Linked DNA regions of Styela clava. The protein of the gene in region 1 purifies or fractionates together with the protein of each later gene. This does not show direct contact. Links are inferred from orthologs where the notes say so. Each region holds a gene or a part of one and is shown in the gene's direction. Other genes may lie near its edges. The genes, in order: cullin-9-like and DNA-(apurinic or apyrimidinic site) endonuclease 2-like.

Region 1 (11,887 bases):
TTTATTCATTTCTAACATAACTGCCAGAGTGAAGTGCAAGAAATTTGTGAATACATGAGCCATGACAATGGCTTTCGATGTGAATTTTCAAATTTTGGAAATTTTCCCCACTATCAATATGACCAACATAATATTTTGAGGGTAACAGGTTCAAAGACTATACAACAGCTCAATTTCCTTTGTATAAATGCTATCATTAAGAAATGGAGTTTCCAAAATCATTGGGATTCCTTCAAAACGTGAATCTCTCATAACTCTTTCAAATCCTTTTAACCCAATTGTTCCCTTTCCAATATTTTCATGCCGATCTTTATGACAACCAGATGGCCCTTTGGAATCATTAAGATGAAAAGCTTTGACATATTGTAAGCCAATTATTGTCTCCAACCCTTCTGTAAAAATATTATAACCCTCGTCTGTAGATAGATCATAACCAGCTGCATGAGCATGGCAAGTGTCGATACAGACTCCCACTCTATCTTTGTTTTCGATCATTTCGATAATATCCCTCAGTTCCTGAAATTTGCCACCCACTGTGTTTCCTTGGCAACTCATATTTTCTAGTAAAGTTATTACAAATTTAGTTAGCTTTGTTGATTGCCTCTGCAATATAAGATAAGCAAGTTTCTACTGAAATTTTTCCAAGGGTTGAGCCGGGATGGAAATTAAAATAAACCAATCCAAGTTCCTCACATCTTTTTAGTTCTTCAACAAGCATTCCCCAGCTTTTTTGCCTCACATCATCTTTGGCAGACCCACAATTCATCAAATATGACCCATGTGGTACAATATGATTAGGAGCATATCCATATTTTTGACAGGTCTCTCGAAAACGCTTTGCATGTGCAGTTACTAACGGCTTCATTTTCCATTGCTGTTGATTGTGTGTGAATAAACCAAAAGCTCTAGCTCCAAATTTTTCTGCCTCTTCTGGTGCTTTCCATAATCCACCTGATATTGATGTATGACAACCAATAATCATGTTGGAACTGTATTTAGATTCTTTGCCTTTGCTTTCTGTTTTGATAGTTTCTTCAGTATCAATTTGATTCGAACTGTTAAAAAATTCAGATTTCTCCTTTTCCGAGACCTTTTTCACAATCTTAGGTTTTGAATACGATTCTTTTTTGATTAATTTTTTCTTTCTGGGTGATGGCCCATTCTTACATGCCTCACCAGCGTCATTGTTTATTTTCTCATTATAACTTGGTTGTTGTTTCTCTGCAAGACGAGAGCTTCTTCTTGACATGGTATATTTCAACACACGAAAGGTAGAGAAATTTAAAATTGAGTGAGATTTTGTGCTAGAAAACAATTGGCTTATATGTGCATACATTAAATCTCGTATGAAAAAAGAGACTGAATTTTTCAATTATTGGTATTGAAAGAGCTTGCCAGTGAATAGAGACAATCCATTTATTTTCTTTGTAACTTTTTCATTTTAAATACAAGTTTAAATATATGATATATTGAGGTTACAGAATTACAGATATATTTTTATTTTTGAGAATTGAAATACAAATTCCATAATGTTAAATAATCTCCTACGATACAGCGATAGAAGAAGTAAACTCGCACAATACGGTATGTTCATAATTAAAGTATGAATTGTCAGATCATATTTTCAATGAATATAAAAGTTTAATTTCTTCGGCATCAGATAAAGTCATTGGTGTTTCTATTATCATAGGAACATTAGCAAATCTGGAATCATTTATTATTCTACGAAAACCATCTAAACCAATTGTGCCCCGACCAATATTCTCATGTCTGTCACTATGACAACCACACAATCCTTTTGAATCATTTAAATGTAAGGCTTTGACATACCTAATTCCTATTATGTTTTCCAAATCATTCATCAAATTATTATAACCTTCTTGTTTTGAAAGATCATAACCAGTGGCATGCGCATGGCATGTATCAATGCAAACACCTATCCTAGATTTGTCATTAACTAATGAGATAATATCACTTAGTTCTTTCAAGTTACCACCAATTGTGTTGCCTTGGCAACACATGTTCTCCAGTAAAATCACAGAATACTTTGTACATTTATGTGCTTTGTTAATAGCATCTGCTATATAAGATATGCAAGTCTGGACAGAAATTTTGCCCAGTGTTGATCCAGGATGAAAATTAAAAAATAGAAGATCCAATTCCTCTGTTCTCTTCAGCTCTTCTACCAACAAATCATGGCTCTTTTGGCGTATTTCGTCACTGGGAGATCCACAATTCATAAGATAAGATCCATGAGGAATGATATGTTCAGGAGAGTAGCCATATTCGATACAAGCTAATTTGAAACGCTCAACTTCATTTGCGTCTAGAGGTTTGATCTTCCACTGACGTTGATTGCGTAAAAATAAAGCAAATGCTTTAGCTCCTATCTGTGAAGCTTCTTTTGCAGCCTTCCAAAGACCACCTGAAATGGATGTTTGAGCACCTATGTATAATGTAGATATACTATTATCGAACAATTTATTTTGTGAAAAATCTCCCGTTATCTTATCATTCAATTTCTGTGATTTGCTTGTTGTTGCCTTAACTGATTTTTGCTTTCTCTTACTTCCAGTCTTTTTTGATATCCTTGCATTCTGTGATCGTAATCGCATCATTATTTTTAAAATATTTTATAATTTTTTTGAAACTGAAGTATAGTAAACTATCATTAAAATTCTTTATAACTAACAATGGCCAGATTTCCAGCAAATTTCAACTAGTTTCAATTCAAGTGTCATAAACTCAACCCTAGAGGCGCAGTTCTTACCACTTCATGGCAGCTCCTGCCACGAACGTACCACGCCGTCTCCTGCCATGGTTTTATGGCGCTATTACCGGTATATTTACAAATTTATGTACCATATTTTAGTTTATCATGCGAAATTATATCTACTTAAACTCTAACCCTAACCCCAAATCCATCCAAACTGTATCCATAACAAAAACATTCCAACTCACCAAATATTTATCACCATCAGCAGATTAGGGGCAGCCCTGCTATTACAGCCGACCTGCCGTGGTTACGGCAGTAAAATTGGTGGTATTCGATTTGCTGCCGTAACCACGGCAGCTCGCTATTGGTTTGTGGCAGCTAAAAAGTCAGTCGCCGTGGGTTTGGTCTTAGTGGCCGTGGTTTGGAAATCCCGCCATGGTTTTGCGGCAGCTGTAGACGCCACAAAATACTTGAAACTGCACTTTCAACCCTACGGCGCTTAGCCGAATTGACAATATTCTTACGAAATGATAATTTTTTAGAAAATGACATTTTTACTGGGTTCCACAACGTCTGTGTTACAGATACGAATATAAACATAAAGCAGCAGAGGTGTACCGTAATATCCAATTATTGTCGGCCATAGGTCATGATAATGTGCCGTTATTGAAATTCCTTAGAATAAAAAATTGTAACATATATTAGATTCAATCAATCAATCAAGATCACTTCATCAGATTATAAGATAAACGTGTTTTTTTAACTCAGATGGTCAATATACACTTTGTCAACTGTATTGCGGTACCAATATGGATTCAATATTTTTGTCCATTGCCTATTTGCCGTTACGAAAGTTACGTATTGGATTCATGTAAAGCGTGTCACGACGATAATGTAGATTGCGTAGAAACAGCACCAGAGTGAGACGGATTTATCGTTTCGTCAACCAAAAAACAAGCATTGCAACAATAAAAAAAAATGTATACGAAATACAAAAGTTATTCGCAGGGACGTTCATTTGAGGGGCTGTAAAATTGGCGTGGTTTTCTGTAATGAATGTACCTGTTGTTAGTGAGTTCGATGCAAAAGAGAATCCGTTCTTAAATGTTTTAATCCAACCAACGGTTATAAATTATGATATATACACCTTTTTTTAGTACAAAATTTTATTTTTTGCCAAATTTAAATCCATTACATGACGCACGCGCACGTATTGGTCGTGAATGCGAATGTACGACTCTTTCGTTGTTTGTTTTCTGAATGTGGTGGTAGTGTATAATGGCTATTGATATACCGGTATATAACTAACTAATGTCCTAACTAAAATGACTATGTCACCACTAAATCACTTATGTCGCTACTAAAATGTCCAAGTACCACTACTGGGCGCCACAGCCTTTTGTTAGTATTGACATAAAATAGCATTAGTGTGCATAATGTGCATTTTAATAGAGAGATGGCCATTTTGGTATGGACGTATTTATTTTATGGAAAACATAATCATTTTAGTAGGAACATAGTCTGATAGTGGCACACCGGTATGTGAAGGCCATGTTATACCGGTAACTACCTGAATGTGTGCTATTAGTGGACGTCACGGCGACAGGTTTTGTGCCGTAGTACAAAATTCTGGTGTCTGGGTGTTGTTGCACATTCAGACATTCGTCTGCAATCATTTACGGTACCGTACCTAATCTCTGAATCTCGCACTCTCAATTAAATTATATTTATAGGCCCAGGAACAGAGGGATGTTAGACCATATACAGATATAAGACTGTAAGATGTTACAGTGTTAAGGTACCGTACCGGTACCGTTATCGATGGTTAGGCACTAATCAAAGGCAGAAGAGAAAAAATTATTTCCACCAACTGACAAACAAGAGTCTTGTTGTCCAGAAGTCAACATTCAGACAATAGTCTATATAGCCTAATATCATAAAACAAACTTTAGATATTAATGAATCTGAAGACAGTAGACTATGGCCAGTCTGGATTTCATGGCCTTTTTGAACGAGAAATCGGGCGTGCAATCAGAAATTCCCGCGTGCAAATAAGAATTCCTGGCCTGCAATTATAGCTCACGACGTGCAAAACAACTGCACTCGCGTGCAACTGACTTTGACATCAGATACCTCTCAATACATCCGCGTAAAATTACCGGTATCGGATAAAAAATACGTTGAATCAGAGAAAAAATGGACGTTTGACCTATGACCCCAAACATTATTTCTACAGTTTGTCGCTAATTTTGAGAGTGTTTGTGCGACTTTGGATACCGGTACTGTTCAGTACATCCGCGTAAAATTATTGGATAAAAAATACGTTGAACCAGAGCAAAATGGACATACTTTGTCATTAATTTTGGTAGTGTTTTTACGTAGAATTAATGGATAAAAAATACGTCAAATTAGAGCAAAATGGACGTTTGACCTTTGACCCCAAACATTATTTTCATACTTTGTCACTAATTTTGGGAGTGTTTGAGCAACTTTAGATACCGGTACTGTTCAGTACATTCGTGTAAAATTATTGTATAAAAAATACGCTGAATCAGAGCCGTACTTGGCCATTGGTGCGGAGGCGGTGTTTTCGTCCATAACTATTCTCACGGGATTCCTATTTCCTATCATTCAACACGATATGGACCTTTCCCCGAGCATCGACTTCCTTGTTTACTTCGTGACATTGGCCAATCAGCAAGATGCAAAAAAGGACGTAACAATGAGAGGAATTTTTCGCGGGTCAAAGGTTGGGGAAAGGTCCATGGTCTTTTTGCTTCGCAATATTTCGATCAGACCAAATCTTGCAAGCTGGTATTTGTCGACAATTGTGGAGTTATAATATTTTGGCATATTTATATTACAGGATTATTGATTTTAAAACCATTTAAACCGATTTACATTGGTGAGCAATTGCAAATTTTCGGCGTGCAAAATTGATTTCGCTTGCGTGCATTTTTGCAGAGCGCTAGCGCCCTCGGGCGTGCACCTGCCATGGAATCCAGTCTGGGACTATGGTACCGTATCGTAGTTGCTTTTAACATCTTTTCAATACTTCATTATGATAACTTAGACTACTTTAAATTTGGAATAACTCCAGAACTACGAAATAAATTGTGATTAGATAATATTGATGAACTATAAAATGAATAAAGTTAGTACCGGTACGATAGATATTCAATGGATGCATTAATGTTTATGTAATGACATATTTGTAAAACTTCTTAACATTTTTGTCGAGTAGTTGAACAAAATCGAGCGAAACCATTGGTTCCTATAAAACTGTGACCCATATGACTGTATGAAATATAACAATCCCAGAAGGGGTCTTACTACTTACTGAATACAGCGCGAAACACCGCAAAGAGCTGAAGAGCGCAAAATAGCGCGAAACAGCGCAAAATAGCGCGAAACAGAAGGAAACCAGCGCAAAACAGAGGGAAACAGCGCAAAACAGGAGACGCAGTCATTACCACCTCCTGCCACGAAAGAACCACGGCACCTCTCGCCATGGTTTTATGGCGCTATTTCCGGTATATTTACAAGGTTATGTACCGGATTATAGGTTATCATGCAAAATTTTATCTACCTTTTTGGTGCTCCAGAAGTATGTGCAGCAATATGTCGCACAATCTTAATCCGCTACACACACACACATACTATTTTCAGGTTGTGCGCCATCTTGGTGCACATACTTCCGGAGGTCCCTTTTTACCTAACTCTAACCCTAAAGCCAACCATATCCATATGGAAAATGTTTTAAATTATGGTACCCAAAATGTGTCACCAGCAGGGGCAGACCTGCCATTACAGCATTACTGGCTACATACGTTGGTTTGTGTTTTTAATTTGCTGCCGTGGTAGTCCAACCCAAAACAAGGTGCCCCGAACTCATCGCAAAATTTTTTTCTGCTTCACACTGTTTCCCTCTGTTTTGCGCTGTTTCCACACTGTTTTGCGCCGTTTCCCTCTGTTTTGCGCTGTTTCGCGCTGTTTTGCGCTCTTTGCGCTGTTTCGCGCTGTATTCAGTAAGTAGTAAGACCATCCCAGAAGTGTATATTGTATAGGAAGTATATATTGTGATTTATTCTGTATGAATTTTTTTTCTGAATCATAAACAAAGTATACTAGTTGAATATATTTCTAATGCATAATGTCTGATGGGCCTGGTGTTCTACATTGATTGATTCTTACAATCCTGCTATCATGAAGGATTCATTACAAGTTGGTAGGAATCAAGTTTTAGAGCCGAAAGAAATATTGAGACAAAGGAATGGCGCATCTCTACAACATGTAGAATACTTGGTTAGTGTATATATGTATTAGATATTTTAAATAATTAAGGTATAAAGAGTTCAGCTATTGTTGAATAATTAATCAGGGACAAAATTTTGAATGTTATTTTTTATTATTTTTTTTAACAAAGTTCAATTTTATGATCATATTCCAGTAGGGCAGAGTTCTTCGATTCCAAGATGTCCCGACAACGAGTTCAATAAAACAAACACTCGATTTGTCTGTAGAACGAGGGCGTCTGGCGGCAGATGCGTTAGATTGCACCATGCTTGTCTCAATAATAATTTGAATGCGTCAGCCGTCACATGACCAAAATTGCGTTTTTTTTTCCTGAAAGCTTTCGAATGCTACGGTAAATTTTTTTTCCTTCGATATATTGGATTACTTTTTTTCAAGGAATCCAATGGTGACATTTTTAAACTGCGCTTTATTTTAGTTTATTGCACAGTGCCGATTTGTACCGATATGGAGGCCCAAACTGTCTCGTAAAGGAAGGGTTTACACACTGTTATAATTGATGTCTTTTAATAATATGGGGGCCATTCTTGGAATCTGGCTTGACAGGGCTATTGATTCTATTGAACTTTTCAACAGTATGAGTAAACTTAATGATTTAATTGATTTAAATCTTTTTATAGGTAAAATGGTGCTTTGTCTCGCAAAATAATAGTTCAGTCAATCATTCTGATGGTTTGTCATCATCTGATGGCAAAAATGACAAGAATATTTTGATATGGATGACACAGGAAGAAGTAGGCTATGGTGTTTTAACATGCAATTTGTAACCTAGAATGTACCAGTAGTTTTTTTAAATGTGCCATTGAATTTAATAACTAGTATGAATATAAGGGTATGATTTTATTTGTGCTTACCTTCGATTATTTAAGTCTTCAAATAAATGTTTGAATTTTCAGTAAATTAGAATTTAAAATAGAATTGGTTGCAGTTTACTCAAAAGTATATAATTTTCTATTTCGCTGCTATTTGTTTATGAATTTTTTTCAAAAATGTTTAAAAGTATTTTTGAATATATTAATAAATATTTGGTTGATAATACTTCTATTTAATTCACCTTTATGGGATTAAAAATGATGAATTATAATTTTTACTAATCCAGGTTGAGGTATGCTGTAGTAAACTGCTTGGTTCAGGATTCACTGGTTTGAGTAATTTAACAAACAAGACATCTTCATCTGATGTTGGTACTGAAGATCAAACTGATGATAAAGTTACAGCTACTGATACTGATTCAGAAGATTTTGAAGATATGCGTGATGGTAGGGTCTTATTGAAAATTTTTGTCTCTGATTTTTTAATTAACTTTAACAGTTGAGGTTTGAGTAATAAGCCAAAATATTTGGAATCAAAATTTGCAATCGCAAAGTAGTATTGTACCCTGATTACAATAGATGTGGACGTTTTTTAATCAGTACTTCAGTTTACTATATTGCAGAAAATGAATTTAAATAATTTGTGTTGATTTCTTTATTGTACATGACCCAAATCAGAATATATGAGATATTCCATGTTCAAAAAATTGTTTTATTTTATAGTGTATTTGGAATAGTTGTTTGGTTTATGCCATTCTTGGGTATAGATTATGTTATTGATTAGAAAAATAGTAATTTTATTTCACTATATATACACTACACTTATTAACATTTATAAGGAACTATTATGTATTAATCATTTATTTCCTTCTACCTTTGCTTATTGAATTGTGAATTTGACACAATGAAGTTGTTTATTACGCTTCTCACAAACTGGAAATTACTCATAAGTTGCCCAGTAACCCACTAATAGTTGAATATGAATGTTTGCACTGATTGAAGTGCTTTTGTAGGTGTATCCTTGTTATTGATGAGTTTTAATAATATTGTGAACAATGACTCAATCAAAACCATAGACTTTGTTGTGAGTATACAAATAAATAATCAGCACTCTTATTCAATTCAGATGTTCAAAAACTTGTTATCAGAGCCAGAAGACAAATGAAAAAATCTGAAAATGAGGAACATAAACCCATTAAAAATATTTCTTATACTCTCAAGGTATTACTTTTTAATTTGCTGTTATTAGATTCTGCTTCTTTTTTGGCTTTTTATTTTTTACGATATTATGTCTTTATGTTATACTTGCTTTTTGGTGAATTTCGAATATTCACGTTTATGTTTATTATTAAGTGCTTCACTTCTGAGCTTCTAAAAAGCTCTATGAATATTTACACGACAGACATGAGAAAGCGTATCGTTTTTTACAAATACATTGATTACATGTTTCCCAACAAAATAAATAAATTTTGAACTAGCAACGGACATTGAAATGTAAATTTAGTATTTGATAGGAATATTTGATAAAGATCTTCTGATCAGCATTTGATGAAAAGTCTGAACACTCTGAAGCATGCTAAACTTTTATGACGAAGTCTTATCTATGCACGTTGCAGTTTTTTTACTGATATTTTTAATTCAAGGTGTTGAGTACATATGCCAGTCTTGGATCTTTAGCTAGCGTCTTCAGACAGACCGGTGCTCTGGACTTGATATTGGAATTATTGTGGTCTAAAGAAGTTGAAACAAAGAGACATGCTGGGAAAATGCTTCGTGCATTGGCTTCACATGATGGAGGTAGGATAATTTGGGAAACCCAAACTTTTCTGAGTTAGGGTTCGGCCATGTGGCGCATTGTGTTGAGCGTTAGTAATACGCTTGTTTTTTCCCTGCCTGGGTTCGTGGGATCGTCGCCATAGGGTGGTTCACGTAAGCTCTGGTCAGTTCCTCCACCATCAAGTCCATGCATGTGAAACAGGTAAGTATCTAACTAATACCACACCCGACATGAACTGGTAACCGCCATATGATCAAGCTGTTTTGTCTGCTTTGCTCTCCTCCTGAATAAATATGCAAGTCCTATCCTAATCATCTGAGAATTGCTGAAACAAAAACAGTTACCGGTAGTTATATAGTTCATTCAGGTCATCTCAACAAGTCAATTTTTTGATTGCTAACCGCACGCTGATATTATAAATCACTGGATTATCTGGAGTGGTATATTACATTTTTGATAACCATTTCTGACAATTTTTTTTTCTATAGGTAGTAGAGCGTATGTGCTACTTTCATTGATTCAAGATAGACATGGACAGATGTCAAGCAGCGATGATGATGCTGATTTTGAAAATCGGAATACAGTAATGGAAATGTTTGCTGAAACATCATCAGGTGAAGAAGCTCATGCTGTAGCTCTCGACTTCATGCAACTTCCTCAGGTTTGTTTGGCCTTCGTTAAATTATTTATTCAAATTTACATTCTTTCGACGTCCATAGTCAAAATTTGGTTTTATTTGTAGGTACCTGGGAAATCATTATTCAAACTGATGAAGTGTTATTTGAAAGTAACATCGTTGTTAGATATGGATTCCCAATTCATGCAGCTGATGACTGGTTCAGAAGAGAAAAGTTTCACAAAAGGTAATTGTAGAAATTTAAAATTTTGTAACTGATCTATTGCTTTGTATCACAATATATGTAGGGCTGGGCATTTTTGAATACCTATCGATATCAGGATCGAATCGAATATTTTTTCGAATTGAATCGAATCTCGATTACTTGGATTATATTCAATTTTATATGCTTTTTATTGTATTGGGCCCTCCAGGCACATAAAATACTGAAAATTCATAAATAAATTCATCACTCAGACAGTTTGCTGAGCGTTCACACACAATAAGAAATATGTTTCATCAATAACTCACTAGAAAAAAAAGAGTTATATGTCAGAATTGTATCATGAAATTGAAAATATGCCTTCTTTATAAAAATGAGGGATGGCATGGCAGTTTGAAATTTTTGTCTTAACCTATTCGAAATGCCCAGCGCTGAGTGTATGCATGCATGCGGTCCAGGTTCCCTGGTTTATTTATATTAGCAAGAAGTGATTGGTAATAATATACCACGTCAATGTTTGGGAAGTTCCCTTTATATCAGTTATGAGGAAGTTGCATTGTTGTGTAACTGGGGATTTTTGTTTTAAAAAACTCTGTTAGAAATTGCTGATTTAGATTGTGTTGACTTGAAACAGTACTGATTAATGTAATCACAGTTAGATATTTCAGTACATTATAGGAGTCTCAACTTTAACTCTATTGCTATTTCTATATATTATATAGAAGTTGATTTACAGTGTTTTCATATCCAAGTCCGAACAAATCACTGATTTCATGTGGTTTTTACCTTCGCTGATTTCCTTGATTTTTTTCAGTTACACACAAAACACAGAATCCTTCAGTTGGCATTTTTGCTTCATTTTTGAGTTGTGTTATAACAAGGAAAAAACAAATATAACTTATAACTAAATTAGTTGTTACTTCAAGAGGCCTGTTTCTTCTAATGTACTAACTCTCATTGCAACCCACATATGGAAATTTAGAAAATATATTATGTGTCCAATTTATTATATCTGCATGTGATTGAAAACGAAGCTAAAAAATTTAATTACCGTAGATAATTTAATATCACCAAACTTATTTGTGGATTTATTAAAACTAATTCACATTTATTGAAAAATAATAAATGTACTAGGCCTAGCTCATTGTTTCCTGTGCACTTGTGCGTCACAAATTAATTAAGTGCATTTCCAAAAAAATTACGTCATATATTTCTGAGTTTAAAATTTTACTTGAAATGATATTGTTGAATTTAACTCCAAAATAGAGAAGTATGACCAGATAAATGAAGATGTAATGACTGTTTATGTGTACAAAACAAGGTAAATTTGCATATGGTATGAAAATTTCCTTAGATATAATTTATTATTGATAAAATAAAAATGTTTTTTCAATGCGGTATAATTTGTATTACAGGAAGTAATTGTGTC
Region 2 (11,444 bases), on another chromosome or scaffold:
ACTAACTAATCCCCATAACGGACATGGACTGGTAAACAAACGAGGCCGTGGAACTAGGGTTGGGATTCCGGGAAATCGCGATCCCGAAATCCCGGGATTTAGACTGTTTTTTTCTATCCCGATCCCGCAATTATTTCCTAAAAATCCCGGGATTTTAGGGCTTTGTTATCAAGATTAGAAATCAAGATTAGATATTCTAACAAATTATAGGTTTGAGTGGAAGTGGAATTATTGTGCGAAATTTTTCTCAAATTGTACCAAGGAATTATTACTTGACTAGTAGAATTGCCATTATTGACGACTTATTTAATCATAATTCGAGCTTTGCAGGGTTTTTATTCAATATTTAATACGGAAATAAAACAGCCACACTTTTGAAAAGTAAAATCAAGAAGATCAACTATCGTCTTCATAAATATCCGCATTCCGGCGTCAGAAATGATTGTATTTTGTAGCTCAAAATTGGGACAGTTAATTTACAAACGGTGACAAGAAAGATCAAAGCCGACCCAAAAGTTAAAAATCGGAATAAAATCCCGAATTTAACCCGATATTCGACAATTCGTTAAAATCATTCGATTCGATGAAAATATACTATTTTGCCCACCCTTGCGATCAGTAAACACGCCAGTCATCTGGCGAAACACGTGGCAGTCCAAACACTGATGCAATGAAACTTAATAAAACCTTCATGAATTTAGTAAATTGCACTAGCCTACTTCACGAAAGCGTGGGGAAATTGACGATCATTCCATATCTCGAACACAAAAACGGTTATCTTTCTTATGTGGTCTGAAGAGTCGAATAAGCGTCTCGACTTAGTAAATGCTATGATCTTTGCCATCAAATTATGCTCGGGTCTTGCGCGAACTTCATAACGTGAAAAGATACGTCCAGCTGTGAAAATTGTTTATAACTACTTTGAACCTATTTAGAGTTTTTAGCGATAATAATTAATTGCTGTAATGAAATACAGTTTGTTTGCCACTTTCATTTCTATCGCAACTGCCGACAGTAACACTATTGAATGATTTTGGCAATGGGAAAAACATATTGAATTGTAACAAAAATGACTTAGGTTGTGAAAAAGTAAGAATACATGCGATAATAATGAGTGCGTAACGTGGAACGGGGAAGGGCGAGCAAAACCGAAGCACGTGATCAGCGGTTACTTTGAAGACCACGTATTATTCGTGCGGCCGCGCAACTTTTACAATAATGTGAGGTGTTCCGAAGACCTCTCGTTTACAATGTAAGAAAACTGTTCTAATATCGTTAACTATTAACCATTTGTTCGCGTTCGACTATCGCATTCTTTATGGGTGGAAAATGTTCCTTTTTGTGATGAATGTGCCGCGAATACTTAAATAGCTAAATAGTGTACCGCTATATTAAATAAAGGTTGGGGTTTAAAAACTGGTCCCGAAATCCCAACCCTACGTGGAACGTCATATGATTAAGCCGTCTTATCGACTTTCCTGTCTACGGGATAAATACGTAAATCCTATCTTACAAAGCATGTGCTCACTCAATAATAAGGGGGAGATTTGTAAACCTGTATCGGTTCATAATCCAAATGATTCGCCAAGATGTTCAACATATTTTTAAAGAACTGTTATAATAATGGTGTTCCATTTTTGTTCTCCAGATCAACGGTTATTTAGCAGAATTATCTTCTTTGTCAATATTTTGTATGTTTTTCATTTCAACAAGGCAGTGAGTCGAAATAAAAACGTGGCAATTTGAAATACCGGTACGTATGCAATTAAATAATGCATTTTTCATTTCTTTCCATTGCCTTGATAAAAAGTTGAAAGGAAAACAGAATTTGAGATCTCTGGAAATATATTCTAAAATTAGTTAAGGTGGTAGAGTATCGACAAAGAATTCATCCACGTCACCACGTGCCTCTTGCAGATAGCTCATTTTAGTCTCGTCTATTGCAGCTTATTCGGGACTAATTTTTGATAATTGCAACTAATGATAATTTAAGTATTTGATGTACGACTAATTTTTTGAAACACAATTGAAAACTGACAAATTGCACACAAAATCGCGAACACGGGTCGATTGTTTGCAACCATGTTTATTTGGATATCTGTCTTAGTGAAAGAGGTGACTGAGCGACTGCGTCAATTTCCGTTGTTGCGTCATCGTAGACTAGGGTTGCCATACGCCATATTTTTCCTTGACATGTCCGGGATTTTAGTGGTCAAACTTGCGTAAGGGAGCAATTTCAAAAAATTCTTAAGTGTCAAGGGGTTTACAGTGAATCCCTGCTACAAATCCTCAAATTTTCAGATATTTCGTCGCATTCAGATAATTGTAATAATGTCACATATAACCTGAATTTCCATCTGTAATCGGTATTTTGGTTGAACCATTTTATAGCCTTTTTGCTGATTATGGAGTCGAAATAAACTTATTTATTTTATTTATTTATAACTACCTTCACCTGTAGGCCTACTTTATTCCATGCTAGGGTTTAGTTTTAGTCACTAGTGGATAGGATAGGATAGGATTTACATATTTATCCCGGGGGAGAGGAAAGCCGATGAGACGGCTTATCCATATGGCGAACCACGGCCTCTCGTCCGGTTATCATTCCAAGTCGGGTATGGGATTAGTTTTACTGTATTGTTTGTTTTCGGAAGCATGGACTTGGTGGTGGAGGAAGCCGTAACCGACCAGCGGTTACGTGAACCACCCAACGACGGCGAGGAGTCCAGCAATCCTCTCGCACATAACCGTCCCTGCATGGGATTCGAACCTGCGAACCCACGCAGAGTAATTAGAGGTGCGGTGGCGAGCGTATTCCTAACGCTTAGCCCGTTGAGCCACACCGCTAAAAATAGCAACAATTATGATCCTTTCGTTTTGTTCCGTATTTATTCTATTCTCACGAGAAAGCGGAGACAGCTTGTGCCTTTGGATACATCGTGAATTTATACCATAATATAAGTGTTTTGGTTGCAAAATCGGTCAATGTGGCTCATTAATATTTTGTCAGGGATTTTGTCTTTTCAGATATGGTAACCCTATCGTAGACTTATTGCTGATTGGACATTTTTGCAGGGACGGACTAAAAGTAGGCACTTGCAAATTAGACACTTTTTTAGGCACTTATTTAGGCACTTTGGAAAAAAAGTAAAAAGGGCGTAATACCTTTTAAAAACATAATTAATTAGTTAAAAATGGTCAAATTAAATGTTGAAAACGCAAATTGCAACGGGCAAACTCAATAACAATATTTAAAACGTAGTATTAAAGGCAGTCGCACGCGCTTGGTCACCACATAAGCTAGGCACATATTTAGGCACTTCGAAAAATAAAGAAAATGGCAGTTATCACTAATAAAAGACAGAGACATAAACATATTACCCACACTGATTAGCCTGGGTAAATATCCAATAGATGCACTTGAGTCTAGTACTGGAATTTAGAAATAATAAATTGTTACCGTTAGGCACTTATTTAGGCACTCGGAAAAAAGGTGAAATGGACGTAGTAACTCCTAAAAAGGTAATGAATTAGTTCAAAATATTTAAATTAAATGTTGAACGCGAAAATTGCAACAGTTAAATCCAATAACGATTTTAAAAACGTAGTATTAAAGGGAGACGCACGCGCTCTGTCACCACGTATGCTAGGCACATATTTGGGCACTTCGAAAAAAGAAGAAAATGGCAATTATCACTAATAAAAGACAGAGAAATGGAAATATTACCCACACTGATTAGCCTGGGTAAATATCCAATAGATGCACTTGAGTCTAGTACTGGAATTTAGAAATAATAAATTGTTACCGGTAGGCACTTATTTAGGCACATCGAAAAAAAGGTGAAATGGGCGTAATAACTTTTAAAATGATAATGAATTAGTTGAAAATTGTCAAATTAAATATTGAACACGCAAATTGCAATATGTGAACCGAATAACAATATTTAAAACGTAGTTTTAAAAGGAGTCACACGCGCTCGGTCACCACATATGCTAGGCACATATTTAGGCAATTCGAAAAAAGAAGAAAATCGGAATTATCACCAATAGAAGACAGAGAAATAAAAATATTACCCACACTGATTAGCCTGGACAAATATCCAATAGATGCACTTGAGTCTCGTACTGGAATTTAGGAATAATAAATTGTTACCGGTGGGCACTTCGAAAAAAGGGTGAAATGGACGTAGTAACTCCTAGAATGATAATGAATTAGTTCAAAATATTTAAATTAAATGTTGAACGCAAAAATTGCAACAGTTAAACCCAATAATGATTTTTAAAACTTAGTACTAAAGGGAGACGCACGCGCTCTGTCACCACATATGCTAGGCACATATTTAGGCACATCGAAAAAAAAAATGGGAATAATCACCAATAAAAAAAAGAAAATAAAAATATTAGTCAAAATGATTAGCCTGGGACTGGGTGAATATCCAATAGATGCACTTGAGTCTAGTAGTGGTATTTGAGAATAATAAATTGTTACCGGTAGACACCTTTTACCGTGTTTCCGCGAAATTAAGACAGTGTCCTATTTCAAATTTCTTCCTAAAATTACCACTAGGGCTTTTTTTCGGGGGATGTCTTATATTTTAATTTATCAAAAACAAAATTACAAAGTAAAGAATTACGATATTTTCAAATATGCAAAATATAAAAACCGATATCATTGGGTTTACTTGTTGCAATTTGCATATTAATTTTTTAATTTAAATATTTTAAACCAATTCATTATCTATTTAAAAGTTATTACGCCCATTTTACGCATTTTTAGAAGTGTCTAAATAAGTGACTAAAAAGTGCCTACCGGTAACAATTTATTATTCTCAAATATCACTACTAGACTCAAGTGCATTCATCGGATATTCAAATAGGCTAATTATTTTGACTAATATTTTCATTTTCTGTATTTTTATTCATGATAATTACCATTTTCTTTATATATCGAAGTGTCTAAATATGTGCCTAGCATGTGTGGTGACAGAGCGCGTGCGTCTCCCTTCAATACTACGTTTTAAAAATCGTTATTGGGTTTAACTGTTGCAATTTTCGCGTTCAACATTTAATTTAAATATTTTGAACTAATTCATTATCTTTCTAGGAGTTACTACGTCCATTTCACCTTTTTTTTTCGGAGTGCCTAAATAAGTGCCTACCGGTATCAATTTATTATTTCTAAATTCCAGTACTAGACTCAAGTGCATCTATTGGATATTTACCCAGGCTAATCAGTGTGGGTAATATTTTTATTTCCCTGTCTTTTATTAGTGATAATTGCCATTTTCTTTATTTTTCGAAGTGCCTAAATATGTGCCTAGCATATGTGGTGACAGAGCGCGTGCGTCTCCCTTTAGTACTACGTTTTAAAATCATTACAGTATTGGGATTTAACTGTTGCAATTTTTGCGTTCAACATTTAATTTAAATATTTTGAACTAATTCATTATCTTTCTAGGAGTTACTACGTCCATTTCACCTTTTTTTTCGGAGTGCCTAAATAAGTGCCTACCGGTATCAATTTATTATTTCTAAATTCCAGTACTAGACTCAAGTGCATCTCTTAGATATTTACTCAGGCTAATCAGTGTGGTTAATATGTTTATTTCTCCGTCTTTTATTAGTGAATATGCCATTTTATTTATTTTTCGAAGTGCCTGAATATGTGCCTAGCATATGTGGTGACCAAGCGCGTGCGACTGCCTTTAATACTGCGTTTTAAATATTGCTATTGAGTTTGCCCGTTGCAATTTGCGTTTTCAACATTTAATTTGACCATTTTTAACTAATTAATTATGTTTTTAAAAGGTATTAAGGCCTACTACTAAGGCCATAAAGGCCTACTTTTAGTCCGTCCCATTTTTGCAGAAATAAACGGGGAAATTGATGTTGCGGCAAACATTTTCGAGGCCTTTGAGAAAATTGAGGCCTTCTTCTGCCTGATGTAATTTAGTAGTTTGTGGACGCGTAGGACTTCTTAACTTGCGCCTAACATTGTCAGAATGCCGGATCACATTCGCATGGTGCTAGCTCACAGCATCACACTCGTGTGACGCCACACTCGCCATCCAAGTGATCCAACACTGTTTTTGTTAGGCCATCGATAGTTGTTAGGCCATATTGAGGTGACTGAGCTTGCTGTTGCATTTGCGTGGGATTATCAGCTATTAGGGTATATATATTATCAGAGCAACCAAGTATTTTTATGGAATAACGTTTATGAAGTGAATATAATAGTTGGTTCACCGCAGCTTGAGTGCGGGCTTGCTGGCTTGGGTAACTCATTTAAAATCGATATTATTTTACGTTTCGCTTGTTGTAGGAGTTGATGTGGCACATTCAGTAGAGACATTCCTGTCGAAATTTTGGAATAATTTATTAGAATATTGTGCGTGCTTCTTACTCTTTATATTTGCGCCGATTTGTTTGTTTAATTCTTGTGTGTAATGCTGCAATCGGTGAAAGGTAAAATTAGGTACGGTAAATTATACTTATACTTATAAAATTACCAGATTCTGAGATTACTGAATTGTTTATATGGTGTACCGGTACCGGTACTCTAATCCATCAATTTTATTTTAGTAGACTACCGGTACTGCTGTACTAAATTGCATTTCTACGGAAACAAGGTTCTTGAAAAGCAGCCATCGATGTATGTCAGTATGTAGAGACTAACGTCTGAACGTATGTTTTACTAGGACTGAATATTTTTTATTGTCATAACACAGACACTGATTGCATTCAGGTGAAAGACCTGAAGATGGAGTTTGAAACTCCGCCAAACCTTTTACTGTTTTAGTTTAACTACTACAGTACTAGGCTATTATATTAGTGTGCAGAGAAAAGAAGAAAAATATTGGATTTGTATCAACTCCTAGCATACGGCTTGCGGTTATGTAAAACTGCATATGCAGTGTCCGATGTCACACATAGGGTGAGAATATATGGCAGACATTACGATATTTCACTCTTCAGCTATTTGTTCTAATTTAAGCCAGTACTGCATTAATAACCTTGAAACTAATTGTTCTATTTTCGTGACTATTCATTGTCTAATTAACTGTTACTCAACTATTTGGTTCCAAGGTAAATTGAAATTTATAGGTAAAATACTGAAAATGTGAAATTAACATAGTGCAGTAGTGTTTCTGTGATTGATGAACTTCATCGAACAAGTATAGACTGACAGATAATATCTTCTCCTGCCATTACATTTGTAAATGTTATTTTTTTAGTTTTAAAATATGAAGCTTGTAACTTGGAATATTAATGGCCTCAGATCAATGAAAGGACCAATTAAACCATTTCTTGATGGGCTTGACGCTGACATTATATGCTTTCAAGAAACTAAAATAACAAAAGATCAAATTGAGAGCGATTTAGCATTAGTTGATGGATATTCTTCATACTTCAGCTTTTCACAAACACGCCAAGGTTATTCTGGCGTGGCCACATATTGTAAAGCAAATACTACACCATTTCTAGCACAAGAAGGATTATTTGATTTTGCAGAAAAGTCTGCAGGAAATGGAGCCATTATGCATTATGGGGATTTAAGTTCAAAATTCTCGCAGGAGAGATTGTATGAAGTTGATAAGGAAGGGAGAACAATAATTACTCAGCATGAATTTTATGATTCAGCGAAGAAAAGAAATGAAAAGTTAACTGTTATAAATGTCTATTGTCCGAGGGCAGATCCAGAAAAACCAGAGCGACAAATTTTCAAAATGGATTTTTACAAAATGTTAGAAACTCGAGCAAACGCAATATTGAATTCGGGAAATCATGTTATTATTTGTGGGGATATCAATACATCACATAGAAGGATTGATCATTGTGATCCTAATGATCCAGAATTGTTTTACGATAATCCATGCCGAGAATGGATGGATGGGATACTATATAACAAAGGTGACTACTCTGCTCTAATACATTTAAATTCAAACTCTATCCAGACAGAATTCTGCGAAGGATTTGAAAATATAAAAAATGTTTCATGCGAAAAAGATTCTAGTACTGATGGAACTGAATCAAATACGGAGGAATCTACACAACAAAATTTAAAACAGGATTCGGAAAATATAGATATTTGTAACAACAATAGAGCAAAATTCATCGATACCTTCAGATACTTTTTCCCACATCGAAAAAATGCATTCACTTGTTGGAACACAATGAAATCTTGTCGAGAAACGAACTACGGCACGAGAATTGATTATATTTTAGCGAATTCTGAGTTTCATATAAATTATGTTAAAAATTGTGAGATTTTACCGGAGATTCATGGATCTGATCATTGTCCAGTCAAAGCAGATATCAATGTAACTATGATACCTGCATCCAAATGTCCGCCATGTTGTACTAAATATATGACAGAATTTGGAGGCCGACAGCAGACTTTGTCATCCTTTTTTTCTCAAAAAGCAAAATCAAAATATGATGATGAGCAGCTTTGTCAAAGCCCTGTAAAGACAGTAGTATCTTCTTCACTAAAGACCTCTACGCAGAAACTTTCTAAATCATCTGTTTCAAATTCCAAAAAGCGGAAACATGAAAACAGCAGTAATACTGTAAGCAAACAGACGAAACTACATTTTTTTACCAAAAATAAATCTTCAAAACCTAAAGTAAATATGGAAATAAACACTAAAAAATCAGCGAATACTTTGTCTCTTTCTCAAGAAAAACTCGAATTCATGCCAAAAATTGATAAATCTTTCACGACAAAAAGCTCAAGTGAAGTTTCAAACTTTTGGAAATCAGTACTGAAAGGCCCTGAACCTCCTCCATTATGTAAAGGTCACAACGAACCTTGTTTTCTTAGAACAGTTAAAAAAGAAGGTCCAAACTTAGGAAAGCAATTTTATTGTTGTCGACGTCCTGATGGACATAAAACTAATCCTGAAGCAAGATGTTCATTCTTTCAATGGAAGACCTGACTGAAACTTTTCATTGATTATCTTGTACCAACCTTGATAAATGTTCATTTTTCGGACATATCCATTTTCAAGTTGAATATTTCTTATTAAGGAATAAACTTTTTTAAGCCTTTTTAGATATCAGTATTCTTTACTGAGAGAAAGAATAAATTTTAAATGCAAACTTGATTTATGGTAGTTATTGAGTAGGCTATTTAACCGCTGCTGCCCTCACAGTATTGGTTTCAAAGTCATGTTTATACCCAAATTTTTCAGCTCACAATAAATTTGATATTTCAAATTTCGATGGAATCACACTAACTACTTAAATTTTATGCAAATCTTATCATGTTAACATCTTTTTCGGTATAATAGTTGTTTTTAAACAGCGCAATGACGTATTCTTGTAATAAACTATGCCATTCCTCCTTTAATAATAGTTGTGTTTAGCTGGTCATGATTATGGAAAATTTTCATTTTACTAGGCCTACTAAATTGCTGATTTATGCTTATGGATATAATTTGATGCAATTTAAAAGTAGTTCAGCTCTCGTATTTCTATTTCAGCCAATTTAATAATATATTTTCATACTTCAATTTGCAGTGGTTACTATATCCATAATCAATTTGTTGTATTGATTTTTGGACTAACGGACGGACTATCATTATAAACTTTGAATGTGTTTGCTAAGGATGCTTTAAAACAAATCTATAAAACACTGGATAATATTGCAAGCGTATTAATATAAATATAGCAATATGATGCCGATGGGGTGGAACCAAATACGACAAGCAAAAGTTGCTGATGTCCAAGGGCAAATGAGGCACAATCATATGGGTCAGAATCAGCAGCAACAGTATAGTCACCACCAACAAATGAATCCCCATACAATGATGATGCACAATCAACAAGCTCCATCCTTTGATTGGAATCAACAGCATATGATGCATCAACAACAAATGTATTCTCATCCTATGATGGGACATTTTGGAATGCAAAACCCACAAGTGAGTTGCTTATGGTAGATGTTTCAAAGATTTGATTCGAATAAAAACAAAACTAATGATATTATAAATATTCTGTTTTTGTGCTAAATTTGTCTGTATTGTAGAGAGGGAGGTTCTTTATGTCAAAATTGCAATGTGAATTTTGACATACCCGTATAGAGAAATTTTGATGCTCTGCTGATCAATTTATCGTCATGTTTTTGCATTTCTTGTTAATAAAAAGCTTGACCGTATTGGCAGCTCATCTCACCACTCATGGAAAATTCATTGTATACTTAAATCAGTGCCATTTTATGTATATTTTGTGCTTAACTATGTTTTTGTTTCACATTTTGAGAGAATTACCAGCTGTATTTTTTTTCTGTATTTTTGTATTCCATTGGCATACAAGTATTAATTAATACAATATGCCATTGTAATGACTAGTAATTAATCTAATTACCTAATCAACTTGTATTTTTAGATGATGATGGGAATTGCAGACAAACCACCAGAGCCATCAGAACCTCCTCCTCCATCACCACCTGCTCCATTACCCAATGACGAACCCCCTCCAGCTCCCCCTGCTGCTGAGCAGAAGGTAAGGCTTTCTTTATATCACCTAGAATAGTTTTAGTAATTTGGGAATTTAGTCACTCACTCACTGCTAGTTGAATTACTAGTTAACTAGAAAATGGCCCATTCAAACACATTATGCTTTTTTCTTTGCAATATTTGCCTAATATATTGCTGGACAGGCAACGAGTTTAGACTAGAATTATGAACACAGAGAGAGTTATAGAGAAGAATTTTGAAACAAATAGGATAATTCGGGTTCTTCGACAATGTATAAAAAACTAACACATTGGATGAAAATTCAGGAAAGTTGCCATAACAATCAAGTTCAAAACATGGGATGTAAAAGTACTCCATGGTCAATCTTACTGACATACAGAAGTATTGTGCAACTTGCGTCCCACGGGCCAAGTGCGTCCCACAGAGGAAAATTATGTGGCTAACGAAACAAGTTTTCAATTTAGTTTAATTTGGTATGTGCAAGTAGTTCCATGCCTATGAGGCTATACCGTTCAATTTTTTTTATTCGTGCCTATTATAATGCCCTTACAGCTAGCTTGAGCGAAGCGAACAGCGCATATCAAGCAATAACCAAAATTTTTGTACCTGCAAGCTGCAACTACTAGAGAACCTATGTTAAATAAAAATGCGGCTCGTGGTTTTACCCAGATATTTTTATCTGGCCCTTCTGTATTATAGTTTGCACACCACTGACATGAAGTCTATGAAAAAGACAAGATGCTTAGACCTTAGAGCAGTGGTTCTTAAACTTTTTCGAGCGCGACCCAAATCTGAGTTTTATGAATACTCGCGACCCAATCCTAAAAAACGCAAAATGTGTTTTTAATGTTAGTACAGTTTGACTCAAATACAGACAACTATTTATTAGAAACAGTCCATTGACTCAGTGAGATTGATGAAACTGAAATTTCCTTTTTCATTATATCTTCAATACACAGCTCT

The links.
Region 2: the proteins of cullin-9-like (region 1) and DNA-(apurinic or apyrimidinic site) endonuclease 2-like purify together in Homo sapiens (affinity purification with mass spectrometry; 3 studies listed by BioGRID and IntAct, counting the BioPlex papers as one, with this or other methods). This does not show direct contact. The link is inferred for Styela clava from reciprocal best matches to the Homo sapiens genes CUL9 and APEX2.

Annotation. Positions count from the first base shown.
Region 1 is NC_135253.1:14,292,996-14,304,882, reverse strand, and holds the start of cullin-9-like, read left to right. Parts: upstream 1-6,842; 5' UTR 6,843-6,922; coding exon 6,923-7,021; intron 7,022-7,650; coding exon 7,651-7,764; intron 7,765-8,129; coding exon 8,130-8,289; intron 8,290-8,968; coding exon 8,969-9,063; intron 9,064-9,485; coding exon 9,486-9,639; intron 9,640-10,107; coding exon 10,108-10,280; intron 10,281-10,361; coding exon 10,362-10,482; intron 10,483-11,887. Other genes in the region: apurinic-apyrimidinic endonuclease-like, read right to left, coding at 151-555; putative endonuclease 4, read right to left, coding at 1,617-2,618. UniProt on the Homo sapiens protein: Core component of a Cul9-RING ubiquitin-protein ligase complex composed of CUL9 and RBX1. The CUL9-RBX1 complex mediates ubiquitination and subsequent degradation of BIRC5 and is required to maintain microtubule dynamics and genome integrity.
Region 2 is NC_135255.1:15,517,436-15,528,879, forward strand, and holds DNA-(apurinic or apyrimidinic site) endonuclease 2-like, read left to right. Parts: upstream 1-6,626; 5' UTR 6,627-6,934; intron 6,935-7,235; 5' UTR 7,236-7,244; coding exon 7,245-8,939; 3' UTR 8,940-9,522; downstream 9,523-11,444. Other genes in the region: uncharacterized protein LOC120330646, read left to right, coding at 9,678-9,926, 10,390-10,506. UniProt on the Homo sapiens protein: Functions as a weak apurinic/apyrimidinic (AP) endodeoxyribonuclease in the DNA base excision repair (BER) pathway of DNA lesions induced by oxidative and alkylating agents.